2 linked regions of the Cricetulus griseus genome follow. The protein of the gene in region 2 purifies or fractionates together with the protein of the main gene of each other region. This does not show direct contact. Links are inferred from orthologs where the notes say so. Each region holds a gene or a part of one and is shown on either strand. Other genes may lie near its edges. The genes, in order: Cd40 and Traf3ip2.

Region 1 (3,816 bases), on a different chromosome or scaffold from region 2:
AGATTGTATCTTTATTTTCCTTTCCCTTTTTGGCATTGGGGATCTAACCTAGGACCTCACACATGCTAGACTTGTGTGGGGGTCTAATCCAGGACCTCACATACACTAGTGTGTGGGTCTAACCCAGGACTTCACACCTGCTAGATTAGTGTGTGGGTCTAACCCAGGACCTCACACATGCCAGACAAGTGTGGGAACCTGGGTCATCAGGCTTGCACAAGAGCTTAGCTTAATGAGCCGTCTCAGTAGCCCTCTTTTTACTTTCTATGTTGAGACAATGTGTTCCCAAACTTCCCAGGCTAGGCTTGAACTTGCAAAATTCTTGCCTCAGATTCCTAAGTAGCTGTGCTGACAGGCCCACTCCCCAGACCCAGCTCTCTTACCCCTCTCTTTACTCATTCAGTGACAACCTAGTCCCTGAATCTGAGGTCGTGATCCAAGCCTCTTGTCAAGCTTCTCATCCTAGCATCCAAACCAAGGCTAACAGGTGACAGTGTCACAGTGCACCCACACCTCAATTGAGGGGCAACAGAACTGTGCTCACAGTTTCAAAATAGTAAAATTCCAAGACATGCTCTCATGTAAGGGAGTACAAGTAAGGGAGGTGCTGCTGCCAACCCATTTCACAGTTGAAGAAACTGAGGCTCACACAGCAGATGTGACTCATCCAGCTCCCAAGATACAAGCTGAAGTACTATTCCCCAAACTGCCTCTTGCCTATGCGTCTCTGTGTCCTCTTTAAAACACTAGGCAGGACCCGTTCTCCCCTGGACTCACCACAGACAGCGTCAGTCCGATTCGTCCCTTCCTGCTGTACCACCATGTTTTTGGCCTCGCAGCTGCACAAAGACACATGTGAACACATGTATGTGCATGCACACACACATGTAGAGAGGGAGAGAGAGAACAGGGTTCCCCAACCATAAGACTTCCAAGCCCAGGGGAGCCAGGCAGCAAGTGGCAAGTCCAGGTTCACTGAGCATGTGGCTTACAGTGCAGCATTCTGAGCTGGTCATTATGGGAAGGGCGGGAACATGCACACAAGTGAAAGGAAAAATTACTGCTTATATTGAAGGAGGGATAGCCAGGAGTGTGGATGATACCGGCCGGGCTTGATGATAAGGGCTAAAACAGAGAGGGCATTGTTCAAAGGCAGGAGCCTCACGGCTGGAATGAGAGGGGATGAGTTTGGTTCTCAGTGGAGCATCTTGGCACCCACAGGTATTTTGAGCTGGGAAACATCCTAAGTCCCAGAATATTTCACAGCGCCTCTGTCTCCACCAGCTAAATGCCAGGAACAGCACTCTAACCAATTACGGCATCTGAAAGATGACCAGATGTGCCCAAGGTCCCATAGAGAGCAAAACTGGTCCCTGTTAAGGGTCTCTGGTTAAGGGTCTTTGGGGGAGACTTCTCCATGGAGACATCGAAGGATGTGAAAGAGGGAGCCAGCCAGGTGGGACCAGTGTGACAGGAGAGTCAAGGAGGCACCTGTGATGATGGAGTGTCCTTGGCACCCAGCCTCATGACCTAACTAGAAAGAGGAACTGCTCCCAGGTCACTCATGCAGGAGACGTTGCAGAAGAGTGGACAGTCGGCTGAGGCCTCCAGAGGGGAGGGGCATTCCAGATAGGAAGCAGAGGGTCCCTGAGACAAATTAGGGGATCCACAAAGGAAGATCAGAAGGGCCCCAAAAGGTACAAAAGTTGAAACAGCAGCACACACCAGCTAAGTGGTGCAGTGTGGCGGGCGCACATTTGACTCCGGTACAGGAACCTCCATGATCAGCTAATACCCACCAGTGGACACTGATGAGTGCCTCAGGTGGCACCATTCCAAACACAGAGTAGAGACTCATGGGAGGGGGGAGGCTTGAACTCTCCATTCAAGCAATTGTTAGCCTTTGGGGAGGGGAAAGAGAGCCCTTATACAAGGTAGGTCACAACTTGTATAAGGTGTGTGTGTGTCTGTGTCTGTCTGTGTGTGTGTGTGTGTGTGTGTGTGTGTGTTTGTTTCTTCTTTACTAGAAGAATCTCTGGAAAGGAGCACTGGGAAAACAGCCTGAGGGGAGGGGCTTGTTCATTTAAAACAATAAATGTAAAGAGTTAATGGGGCATGTACTTAAGGGTTCTCCCAGGCAGGAGACTTTGAAGCAAAAGAATAAACAGTGTGCTCAGGGGTACAAATGCAGGGTACAAGATATGGGGGGAGAGTTAGAGGATCGTGCCGGACCCCAGCCCCACCCCAGAGCCAGGACTTCTTCCCAGAGGCAGCAGAGAGCCATGGAGTGCTGTAAGCCACAAAGTACTGTGATCCAAAAAGGGCTATGGAAGGTCACAATGGCAATACAATGCAGAACCAGCCAAGAGGTAAAGAGCCTGTGAAGAGACGAAGCCATCACCACACTACAGTGATGAGGCCCACGAGACCACACTAGAGAGTAAAGAGGTGGATTCCCAAGACGCTCATAGCAGACTATAGACCTGACTGAGGTAGAGGTGAAGGCAAAGGTGTGCGGCTCTATGTGACTGCCTCAAACCAGAACCTGCCTTTCCCTTGGGGCTTGGCTGGGTGCCCATTCTGGCTATACAGAGACTGAGGTGTTGGGGAAGCTCTACATTCAGCAGCAAGACTTGACCATCTGGGGCCCAAACCACAGATCCAGGGGGAAATGGAACCACGGATGTAGATAAGACAGCCCAGGAGAGGGGGAAAAGTAACTGTGGAGAAGAGGACTCAAACAAAGCACCAGAAAGTCAACTAAGAGTCAAGAAGGGCTGGGGGATAGATAACCCAGTCAGGAAACTACTTGCCCTGTAAGCATGAGTTTAATCCCTAGGACCCACATTAGAAAAAAGAAATCCAGGCTTGGGGACATATGGTTGTAATCCCAGTGCTGCAGAGGATGCAGAGGGTCCCTGGAACCCTGACCAGGCAGCCTAGTCTACTTAGCAAGTTCCGGGCCAGTGAGAGACTGCCTCAAACAAAAGAAAAAGGTGGATAGTACCTGAAGAACAATGCCCCAAGTTGCTATCTCACACACACACACACACACACACACACACACACACACACACACACACACGTGCACACATGCATATGCATACACAAGAGTGTGTACACATACACGTATGTACAAGTGTGCGCATACACCTACACGCCCAGAAAGCGGAAGAACTGACAAGGAACATTCATCGAGAGAAAGGGGTGCTGTGGTGCCTCAAGATGAGAGACTTCAGGAAGGGAGGGAGACCCAGATTCTATTAACTAAGCAAGAGCAGGCAAGAAAAAAGTGCAGAAAGTGTCCCTTAGGCCAGCCATGAGGGCACATTCACAAGCGAGTGAGTCACTGAACAGCAGGTGACTGGAGAAACTGCCACAAGACCCACACTACTTTTGGTTAAGGAGAGGCAACCCTTCTACCTGGTCCAAGGATGACATTGTTCAAAAGCTGATGACCCACTGGAGAAGAAGCCGGCTGGGCAGGGTTCACACACCGTATCGGCAGTCCGTGTGGCTGGGAGCATGTGGGGAGGATGCATCAAGAGTCTCTGTGAGTCACGGTGTCACAGCCTGAGCCTGCCTTCAGCTCCTTGCCCCGGCGCAGTGGTGGCCCTGAAGACTGCAACCCAACAGGAGTCCCCTTCCCCTTCCCCAGGAAGTTGCCCATAGCCAAGGCCAGAATGCAAAAGATCCCACTTCCTGTTACCCAGAGGGAAGATGCCAGTCCAAGTGGGAGTCGCTATCCCCTCAGCTTCTGGGGGCCAAAGCCAACTGCTCAACCCCAGCTCTTTTCTTCCACCCATAGAGCTGTTT
Region 2 (3,816 bases):
AAAATTATGTAATTCTATTTTTAGGAAGTATTATAGGAAACACATTAAAATAAAAACTACTAAACAATGCTAAGCCACCTCTTTATTCTTTAATTTGTAAGTGTTCCTCTCTAGCCTCCAACATCCATATTTCACCTATTTTTCACTCCACTCTGGAATTCACTGCTGCTGAATGCCTAGGAGAGGTTTCTGGGAAGAAAATAATCTTAATGTTTGAGGAAAGTCAGTCCATAGAGTGGCAACCTGTGGTATTTTGTTTATCCTAAGGAAGAATGTACATGTCTTTAACTTGTGTTGTTTCAGCGGTTGGCAGGGAGACAGAAAGACAATGTGCTTGAGAATTTTGGGTCCAAGATCACAATGGACCTACAGGGATGATGTAGGGCCATCTCCCCTAGATGGAAACTAGGCTGCGTCTTCCCTGTCCAGAATCTTCTCTCCGGAAACAAGGTATAGAAGGGCAGCTGTGTGCAGTGGGGGTTCAGGGTTCTACTTCAAACCTTATAATCCAGTACAGAGCAAAGAGTCTGGTTTGGAAAACAACAACAAAAAACCACCTTGGTGAGCTTGCATACCACAGGAGGTGGGTATGGCTGGTGAGAAAGGGCAAAGGCAGAGAGTGCAGCAAAAGCCAGGCCTTTCCTTCAGGACCAACAGTGGGAATTGGCACTACTATGGACATTTGGAGGAAAAATGTTGGAGACTTTGGGTAATTTAAAGTGTGGTGGAATACTTGTCTAGCATGAGTGAGGCCCTGGCCTTGACCAGCACCAAATAAATAGATAACCAGAAACAATTATCCAAACCCTTAAGCATTTAGCTCATCACCACATAAATTAATAAAACATCAACTTCATACTTTACCACCACCACCACCACCACCATCACTGTGTTCAACTGAATGGTTCAGTTTTCTCTTTGAATAAAATACTTACTGCAGTTTGGAAGCCATTCACCAACAAAAAGTTCACAAATTTCACCACCTCCATGGCTGTGTCCATAGAATAAGTGATAAAGACTTTCCCTAAGAGAGAAATTCCAGAGTTGTTGAAACAAATCAAGTTATTCTGTTACACATAGCACTTCTAAGGAGTATGCATTGGCCTTTGTGTTGGAGGGTGGTCTGAGGGTTTTTGCCTACAGTGGTGTGATTGCTGGCCTCTGTGACAAGGGCTGGGACCTGTCCAAGAAAGTGCAAACAATCCAGAGTGAACAGAAGACAGAAGGGACAGAGGAGAGTAATGGCAGGCTGAGACCAGCCTCACAGGTCTCCTGGAATGCCACATGAGATGTTAAAAAGTCTACCACCCACAGCCTGCAAGTCCTTTGAGCTCAAGCCATTGCCTTGTTTCTTAGAGACACTTGGCCCTATGCCCAAGGAAAATATTCTCACAGCAGGCTAAGAAGCTAGGGCTTGCTAAGAGGCCACCAGCAGTGTCTGCTTTTGATCTCATGATGCTCTCTGCTGCACTGAACTCTTGTCTAACAAGACAAAGTAGGGGTGAGTGAGAAAGTGTTTCCGTGCCCTCCCCCAGTCGACTCTTTTGGAGAAAGGTCAGGAAGTAGGAGCAGACTGATGCCCAGATCAGAAATGTGAGTGCAAGTTCAGCAGTTTAAAGGGGAGACAATGCCTCAGGGCAGTCCAGCATTGCAAGCTTCCTCTTTCCTCCCCAAGCAGCACGGAACCACAGACAGAACTGTTCTGACAAGCTTACCCTACCCAGCCATAACCGCTGCTTTCTCAGACTAAAGTATTGGGGAAATTACTTGACTAGCAGCTTAATGTGGTAGACAGATAATCTGTACACATTGCCTTTTAGTCTGGAATGAACAGTTTGATCTCAAGAAACCCTGAGGCAGAGGATAAAGAAGAGAAATGCAGAAGAGTAGTCTGTATGCATTCATCTGTGCTTGACTCTTCCTAACAGAAACACACCTCTCAGATGGAGTGTGTGTGTGGTGGGCTATGATGGTGGTAGTAACCCAATGGCCAGGCACATGGGCAGCACTGGATCCTTTGTCACCTCCATACATACTGGTTGTAGGACCCCTTTCCTAGATTATAAGACAGGCAGAACATTGGGACTGTAAGTCATGTGAGACCATGTCTGTCCACTCAGTTATTTCCCAGATTGAAATGTGAAAGATTTTGAGGTGCTCAGAAACAAAACTTTTTGCCTGAAAACCATGGTGCTCAACGTCACAGAAATCCTTTGGAGTTGTAAGTGACTCGAGTAGAGCGGCAACAAAAGCAGTTAGCCAAGCAAAGGTTTGGTTCTGAGTGTCCCAGATCTGGAAAGAGTGAACTTTTCTAGCAGAATACTTCATATAAGTAGTGACTGATTTCTGAAACTAAGAATGCTAGCTGGCCTTACTCTCAGAACATTTTGGTAATATTTTACCATTTCTGGATCTAGCATAATGTGGCAAACGAACCATCACCTGACATTGAACAGGATATTTCTTGAAATAAATAAAAGTCTTAGTTTGCATTGGGATATGAGCAATATGGGATTTTAGATTTTTTTTTTCTTTTTCCAAACAAGACCATTCACTCCTACAGAAAATGACCTTGTTCTTGATAGATTTATGGTGAAACACTAGGTTTCTACCGTGTTCCACACAAGCATCATCCAATCCATCCACCCAGGGGCACATCACAGAAGAGCATCATTTAGAAAAGGAAAGAAGTATTGCAGGGGCGGGGCGGGGTGTTGTTTTCTTTGTGTTGAGGAAAATCCAGTGGTAAGCAGTTTGGGAGCACTACTTGTGAGGTTAGGATTACTAAAAACATTTTAAATTGGCTGGGTATTTTTAAAGCAAAAAAGGAAAAGGTAAACTTTGCTATGTAAAATATAACTGAGATTATAGGTAAGTGACTAAGCCAAACATAAAACCTGACAAGATGAAACCACATTGCAAACAACTTACGTAATTCCTCTGGCAAATTGCTAGTTTTTAGAGTTCCTCGGACTAGGGGGTTGCTAGGGGGTCTAGGCACAGCAGCTGGGGATGGAGCCTGGGGGCCCTGTGGTCTCAGCTCTGCAGGATGTTCCAGGGACCCTTCGGGAGCTCCAGCTCCACTAGACGGTGGGTGATAGAGCTGGTCCCTGCAAGGGAATAAGTTTACAGCAAATTTTTATTTTCATTACAAAGGCAAAGTTTGGAGACAGAGCAAGACGTCCAGACTGGGGGACCATACCAACACATGGCTCCTCCCCTCTGCCTCCAGTTCTCTGACACAGAAGTGAGAGAGGAGTCCCATGGAGTTTCCTCTATAAATGAGTCAGCTGGCTGCCACATGTGAGGACCTGTGCTAGGGTCAAAAGAGGGAAGCAGGATTTGATTTCTCCATTCAAGGTCTATCTAATTGGGAAAATAAGTTCCATGTACGGGTCAGACTAGGTCACCAGCAAAACAAAATAATATGATGGGTGACAGAAGGCTGATATTAAAGGCATTCAAAGTAAAAAGACACAACCTTTCACGATAGATAACATTTGCTTATGTTTCAAAAGTGTTTTTTTTTTTTTAAAGTCATGTAGGTTTAAAAGTATTTCTTTTAAACTCTGTAAGTGAAAAATCTGACTGGTGCCATGGCTTCTTCATTATGATTTTGCTTCCAGCATTCCTGTGGGCATTGTACTGAGGGGAAACAATGGCATGTATGCCTCTGAGCTTTAGAAACCAAAGAAATGAAGTCTTGTTTCTATTTGGTTCCTATGGCAGATAGTCACAGGTATGTCTCTTCTGCAAAAGCATCCAGTGGCCCTGGATGTCAAGAACAAAGTGGCACCTCTCTTTTACCACTGAAAC

The links.
Region 1: the proteins of Traf3ip2 (region 2) and Cd40 purify together in Homo sapiens (affinity purification with western blotting, with the first as the bait; 3 studies listed by BioGRID). This does not show direct contact. The link is inferred for Cricetulus griseus from reciprocal best matches to the Homo sapiens genes TRAF3IP2 and CD40.

What each region holds. Positions count from the first base shown.
Region 1 is NC_048599.1:14,354,657-14,358,472, forward strand, and holds part of Cd40 (tumor necrosis factor receptor superfamily member 5), read right to left. Parts: intron 3,518-3,816; coding exon 3,424-3,517; intron 840-3,423; coding exon 778-839; intron 1-777.
Region 2 is NC_048595.1:262,138,878-262,142,693, reverse strand, and holds part of Traf3ip2 (adapter protein CIKS), read right to left. Parts: intron 3,111-3,816; coding exon 2,932-3,110; intron 1,025-2,931; coding exon 936-1,024; intron 1-935. UniProt on the Homo sapiens protein: E3 ubiquitin ligase that catalyzes 'Lys-63'-linked polyubiquitination of target protein, enhancing protein-protein interaction and cell signaling. Transfers ubiquitin from E2 ubiquitin-conjugating enzyme UBE2V1-UBE2N to substrate protein.